Drosophila melanogaster: one gene and its partner. The protein of the gene in region 1 interacts with the protein of each later gene in a biochemical or structural test. Each region holds a gene or a part of one and is shown in the gene's direction. Other genes may lie near its edges. The genes, in order: Nedd8 and Den1.

Evidence for each region.
Region 2: the proteins of Nedd8 (region 1) and Den1 form a complex in vitro, tested with the Drosophila melanogaster proteins (one study listed by BioGRID).

Annotation. Positions count from the first base shown.
Region 1 is NT_033779.5:18,950,270-18,953,525, reverse strand, and holds Nedd8 (Nedd8 ubiquitin like modifier), read left to right. Parts: upstream 1-1,688; 5' UTR 1,689-1,810; coding exon 1,811-1,828; intron 1,829-1,988; coding exon 1,989-2,119; intron 2,120-2,179; coding exon 2,180-2,285; 3' UTR 2,286-2,520; downstream 2,521-3,256. Other genes in the region: CG10621 (uncharacterized protein), read left to right, coding at 1-122, 189-368, 529-1,187; CG10428 (uncharacterized protein), read right to left, coding at 2,602-3,256. UniProt on the Drosophila melanogaster protein: Ubiquitin-like protein which plays an important role in cell cycle control, embryogenesis and neurogenesis. Covalent attachment to its substrates requires prior activation by the E1 complex Uba3-Ula1 and linkage to the E2 enzyme UbcE2M.
Region 2 is NT_033778.4:12,336,141-12,340,052, forward strand, and holds Den1 (deneddylase 1), read left to right. Parts: upstream 1-2,159; 5' UTR 2,160-2,279; coding exon 2,280-2,308; intron 2,309-2,392; coding exon 2,393-3,113; 3' UTR 3,114-3,404; downstream 3,405-3,912. Other genes in the region: CG34021 (uncharacterized protein), read left to right, coding at 847-1,128, 1,198-1,401; CG8839 (uncharacterized protein), read right to left, coding at 3,753-3,912.

The DNA of each region.
Region 1 (3,256 bases):
TTTCGGCACCCAGATGACCGTCCATGTGGGTGACTCTGTGGATGGGGATCCGCTATGGAGTGCCCGCTTCAATGCCACCAATCCGGCGGCCATTATCAGCACCCACCTGGACTTTTTGCAGAGTAAGCAATTGTTTTCCGGTAGCAATTGGCAACATACTAACTGAATTTTCCCCTTGACAACACCAGATGGTGCCGATATCATTTTGACCAACACCTACCAGTCCAGTGTCGATGGTTACATGGAGTACCTGGAGCTGGACGAGGAGCAGAGCATCGAGCTGATAAAGAACACGGTCCGCCTGGCCCACATCGCCAAGGAACGCTATCTCACCGAGTGCTATCAGGCGCAGCTGTCGGTGCAGGAGGGTAAGTTGACATCCATGAGGTCCAGCTCGGGCGGGATTAATTTAGATTGTGGTCAAGTGAATGATGTGGTAGGGTCATTACTTTTAATACTTTCTTTAATACTTTATTTTATATATAGTAATATTTACCAATTATATATTCCAATTTATTGTTTTTAAAGGATACCCTTTGATCATTGCCTCCATTGGACCCTTTGGGGCCCACCTGCACGATGGCTCCGAGTACACCGGTAGCTATGCCGACTTTGTGCCGGCCAAGGAGATTACGGACTGGCATCGCGTGAGGATCGAAGCGTGCTTGGAGGCTGGTGTGGATGCGCTGGCCATCGAGACGATTCCCTGTCAAATGGAGGCGGAGGCCCTGGTGGAGATGCTGTGCGATGATTATCCGGATGTGAAGTTCTGGGTGGCCTTCCAGTGCAAGGATGAGAATACCCTGGCGCATGGAGAAACCTTTGCGGACGCGGCGAATGCTATTTGGGACCTCTTGGCTGAACGAAATGCCCAGGATAAGTGCCTGGCCATCGGAGTAAATTGTGTGCATCCGAAGTTTGTGACCCCGCTCTTTAAGAGTTTGAATGGTGACCGCGAAGTGGGTGAGCAGATACCGTTGGTGGTGTACCCCAATAGCGGAGAGGTATACGACGTGGTCAACGGCTGGCAGGGAAGGGAGCACTGTGTGCCCTTGGCGAACTACGTTCCGGAGTGGGCGCAACTGGGGGCCAAGGTCATTGGGGGATGCTGTCGCACTTATGCGAGGGATATACGCCACATCGGGGAGGCCATTCGCGACTGGAACAAACTGAAGAAGCTCTCATAGGGATGAACTTCTAAGCTGGGGATCTCAGTACCTTCGAAAAGAACAAAGTAGTTATCCATTTAGTACTGTAAATAAATGTATTTAGTTATTAAGGCATACAACTTATTTTAATAAAACAGAAAAGACAAAAGACAAAAAAATACTTTTTAATTTTCTAAGATCCGAGATAAAACATTAATAAACAAATTGCTCTTAATTCAAATCCCTCAAAAGTGACGCCTTCCATTTTTTTCAAAAGTTAAAAAATGTAGTAATGGCATTCAATGGATTTTTGCATCTCATGAGTAAAATAATTTAAGGAGAATTTGAATTCTAAATATGTGAGACTTCTAACCGTAATGGGCACACTATAAATCAAGCTACAAAAAATTTACATAAATTAAGTTCTCCTTTTTCGAAATGTATTTTTTTACACGTGAATTGTGTAGAGATGGAATGATGGAGAAAATACTATATTTGTAATAGTGTGGAAAACAATCGATGGTCATCGACAGTACTATCGATAGTTGCCAGTCGTACCAACGCCGAAAGTGACAGCCAAAAAAGAGAACCAGCTGTGGAGATTTGCAAAAATTTCGGCAATTTTGAATTTGTACAGGAGCGCCTAGTTAAATACACACAAAATGTTGATCAAAGTGAAGGTTAGTGTGGAAGATATGGAGTAGCAAAAAAGTAGGATAAAGATAAATCACAGCCATCGTGCCCAGCGGGCACTTTGAACAACAACAAAATCGTCGAATATTACAGTCAATATATGTGTGGCTGGATTATTAATGTAAATATGTATTATCTTTCCATTAGACCCTGACCGGCAAGGAAATCGAGATCGACATTGAGCCCACGGACAAGGTAGATCGCATCAAGGAGCGCGTGGAGGAAAAGGAAGGCATTCCGCCCCAGCAACAGCGTCTTATTTTCTCCGGCAAGCAAATGTGAGTCTTTCTGGCTATTGGTCATTGATTTTAGCTTATTTCGCATGCGATCCCCCCCAGGAATGACGATAAAACCGCGGCGGACTACAAAGTGCAAGGTGGATCCGTTCTTCACTTGGTATTGGCTCTGCGAGGAGGTGATTCAATCCTAACACCTTGTGTGTAACTAGCGTGTTCATAAGTGGAAAACATTCATTTAAAATTCACTCAAATATATTAAGCTTGAGAAGCGTCATATGGAGAATTAATATATGTAAACTAAAAAGAAGTCTTAAAAGTGGTTTAGAAGAAAACAAAGTGTATTCGCATCGGAGGAATTTAGACAGAATGGATTGGGGCCAACCGGGTCCGTAATAAAACATGTTTTTTTGTAAGCCAACATCTAAATCATTCGAAAAAAAGAAGAACACTCCACAATGGTGGGCTAAGGTTTAAAACATATCAAAAAGGCATTTATTTTGTCTCAGTGGCAGATTGTAAGTTCAGTTCTGTTTAACAAAACGTCCGACTAGCAGGTGATTCTTTGGCGTACACTGTTCGGGCTTTAAGCGTGTGAGAATGACCTGGTAGCCCGCCTCCTCCGCCTGCAGCAGGCGATCGGTGTCCACCACGGACATGCAGTGGAGTCCTTGAAGCGTGGTTTCTGGCTTGCAGTTGGTTGTCCCCATCTCGTGTGCCTGATCTGCCGAGTGGGCAATGTACAAGTAGTCCTTTGTGTCTAACACCTTTTGGAACGCTTTGCTCAATGGGTACGAAATGTGAGGCATGGGCTGCAGAGAACCGTAGCAGCAAGGACAGCAAACAAAATGTGCCTTGGCTCTCCGGCACTGCTGCAAAACGATATCTGTCGCCGTTCCACACGCGTGCAAAGAGGCCCCGATCTTGAATCCTCCGACAAAGTAATCTATGTTGCATTGGTAAAAAACGCAGTTGGTCAAACCCAATTCGTTTGATCTTTTCTGAGCTTGAAGCAGGGAGAAAGCTTTGTTTTCCATCACAATAATGGTACAATTTGGCAGCTTGAGGGCCAGCAGTATGGCCAAATGCCCTGTGCCGCTGCAGAAGTCCACAATGCGGTCGCCCGGTTGAGCCAGGGAAACCACCGCATTGGCCAAGTTCTCTAGCTGCTGCCTCTTG
Region 2 (3,912 bases), on another chromosome or scaffold:
TAAATAAACATTAAATAAAATAAAAGATTTCGGAGCTGCTTTGGTAGCCCGACACACTCAGGTTCAACCAAATATACATATCTATATATATACATACATACACAATTTGTAAGAAGCAACATATTAAAAAACATTCCTCTTCAATATTATTCAAGACAATTTAAAATTCGTTTTGCTTAAACAGATTTATTTACGACTTGCTTGCTTACTTGCTATGATTTTCTGCGCACTTTGCTAAAATTAGTCATTTGGCATAGACCTCGCATCACCCGATGTAGCCGTGATCGTCTAGTGGTTAGGACCCCACGTTGTGGCCGTGGTAACCCAGGTTCGAATCCTGGTCACGGCAATGTTGAAACAAACATTGTCACGGAGTTGGGTATTTTTTTACACTCTAATTATTTTGATGAAAATGAAAATAATTATTAAACAAATTGAAATGATATATAAATAAATGATAAAACATGTTTTTGCTAATCTTATTATTTGATTTTCTATTTGATTTGGGGTAGTGTTTACTAATTACATCTGCAATTTTTTTTTATTAGGTGACGTGGTGGGATCTTGGAATTGCTGGGCGCAATCCAATGTAGCCGTGATCGTCTAGTGGTTAGGACCCCACGTTGTGGGTTACCACACCCAGGTTCGAATCCTGGTCACGGCAATGTTCAAATAAACATTGTCACGGAGTTGGGTTATTTTTTATTTTTAAGCTTGGAATTGGCTATTTTGTACAAAATGTTGGTTATCGAAAACTCGTTGAGTTTTAAGTCCACAAGCACCAATGAACGAAATACTTCAAAATAATTAAAATTTGAAAATATACATTTTTCTGGCAAAGTGAATATGGATGTCACGAAAACATCAAGCGCTGAGGAAACCGAAAACACGGAAAATACTAGTCATGCTAAAAACATTAACGAAAACGTATCAAAATTTTATGAAACTATTGGAAATATTTCCCGAAATATGCGCAAGGACGATTGGACATATCTACAACGCCATCCAGAGATCCGAGCCATAATTCGGGTCATTACAGCCGAGGCGGTTAAGGCAAAGCCATCGAATATCTACCAATTTACAGCCAATTTATTTGGAAGCGAAAGAGACGAGGAGATGGTAGAAAAGGCAATAATTTTTGTTTGCATATTTACATAAATGAAAAAAAAAACGCTTAAAAGAATTGTAATTTTCTAGATAAACAAGCAACTTAAGTGGTTGGAAGAGCAGTTGCGAGGGGGTACGTGGAATCCTGACGAAGGATGTGCCCCGTTTCCAGAATCCAGCGAGACTTCTTCGGAAACTAAATGCCAAACTAATTTTAATACCACTGCGAGTTTCAACATACCCGAAAAGCAAGTTTGCCCTGAAAATTATAAGCCAGATTGCAAGAAATGTTAAAAATGTGAACTTAATAAATTCAAAAAAAAAAAATTCAGATTGCAAGAAATGTTAAAAATGTGAACTTAATAAATTCAAAAAAAAAAAAAATCAGATTGCAAGAAATGTTAAAAATGTGAACTTAATAAATTCAAAAAACTTTTTAAAAGGAATAAAAAATATTTGTAATTAAATTATACATATTTAAATTACTTTTTATAACTTTGCCACATTAGGCAACACTGCATTTCACAGTCTGCACTGCCACCTATTTAGCGAGCAGTCTGGCAGCCCAAGCCAGAAAGTAAGATATACAGTACGGCGACTTATTATTTGAGCGGAAAAGCGGAAAAACTATTCAGAGTGTTGTGTAACTTTTTATATTAGTGAAAATATCAGTTGGTAAATTCAAGTTATTTGCTCCCAAACAGCCAAATAAATGGTAATACGCGAGGAGTGTCCAAAGAACGGACAAAAAGCGAGGTCGCGACTTCGAGGAGGAGGAGTAGCCATTTTTCGTGGTGAGTAAAAAATATATATGTGGGGATCTGACCACCACCTTCACCTCCTCAGTGTCCTCTATTTTGTTTTGCTACGCCCATTCGTTGTCAAAGACAATAACAAAACAGCTTTGTACGAAGATTAGTTAATTTCGATATGTTTATTTTGGTTTAAAATACGATTATAGTGTTCTTAAAATGCGCTTGGCATGACTGATTTCTGATTGCTTTGAAACCACAACAATAACAACAGTACCGGCCGGCAAACGAAAGGGAAAGCAAAAGCAAAAGGAAACCGAAAACGTCATTCCTGCGTTGACTTTGAAACCCTGGAGTTGTATTAGTCGCCGGAAAAATTTTATTCTTTTAGCCGAATTTTCGCGAAGATTGTTAGTGAAAATGTTGCCCCACGATAGGAAAATACTTAGGTGATAGTCGCCAGCTGGAACAACACGAATCTAGTCGCAACAACATGATTTAAATCAATTTTTTGCCATTTATTTTCATTCCAGGCAACATACACGCCAGAACCAGAATACGAATCGCCGGCGCCCCAGATTCACCAACAATAGCTTCCATACCAAAATGGGCAGCAACTCCAAGGCAGACCCCATCTCGCTGACCTTCCACGACTCCTGCCTGCGGATGTCCGACGTCCAGTTGCTCCACGGCCCGCACTGGCTGAACGACCAGATCCTGAGCTTCTACTACGAATACCTGGCCCACATGAAGTACAAGACCAATGCGGATCTGCACTTCATTGCGCCGGAGATTACGCAGTGTATGAAGTACATGGGCGACCAGGAGCTGAAGCAGCTTCTCGACCAGAGCAACACCACTGGCAAGCCCTTTATCTTCTTCGCGCTGAACGACAACGAAACCACCGATGCTGGTGGCAGCCACTGGTCACTGTTGGTCTTCTCGCGTCCGGAGAAGACCTTCTATCACTTCGATTCGTATGGGAACAACAACACGGGCAACTCCCTGGAGCTGATGAACAAGATCAAGGACCTGCTTGGCGTCCGAATGGCCAAATTCCGGCCCATGCGCTGCCTACAGCAGGCGAACGGCTACGACTGTGGCATCCATGTTATCTGCATGACCGACCACATTGCCGATTACCTAAACAGATACGAGGTGATCGACGGACTGCCGTCGCTGCACATCGACACCGTGAAGGCGAAGCGCACCGAGCTACTGAAACTCATCCTGTCGCTGGGCGGCAAGGGCTAGAGGCTAGCGAGGATTGCCCTGCCGAACCGCCCACAGCCGAGTAGTTTTTAAGTGACCAAATTACGAATGTAACTCGTTGCCGAAGAATGAGAGGAGCATCGGAATTACATATGTGAATACGATATCCATGATATCGCTAGTTGTAGTGGGTTTAGTTTTCCTTGCCGAATGAAAATGTTTAAAAAACAAAAGCAAACTAAAAGCAATTGAGGCGGTGAGTCGGCATATTTTTAAGGTTGGTCTTTCAAAATAAAGATTTGTTTAGCCACAAAACGCGTTGGCTTCGAATTCAGAATTCTGACTTCTCTGCTTGTTTGGTCAATGGGCGCCTGTCGCCAATTAATGAAAACAAAGATATCAGTTGGTTGCAATTATTTATTATAAATGCAAAACGGGAACGGATCCGCGCGGATCTATGATTAGATTACATTTAAAAACACATACAAAATAGATAAATCCACATCGAAAATTGATATTACAATGAGGCACTGGAGTACACAAGGAATACCTTTCATCGCCAGGCGAATGCTCGGGTGGGTAGGGGTAGTTAGTAATGGGTGGGGGGAGACCAGGACGTTAACCTGACCACTACTATCTAAAAGCTAGCTAAGCTGCATACTTGCACGTTTGAGACTGCTCCTAGAGCCGAACTTCGGGCTTGGCCCAACCGCCAAAGGCTCGCTCCAATTCCTCGGCAACGGCCAAACAAAGTCGATCCTGATTGAAGTTGGCGATGATTTGGACACCCAGTGGCAGACCCTCGCTGCCCAGCTTGCCCAGCGGCACAGCGGTGGCCGGG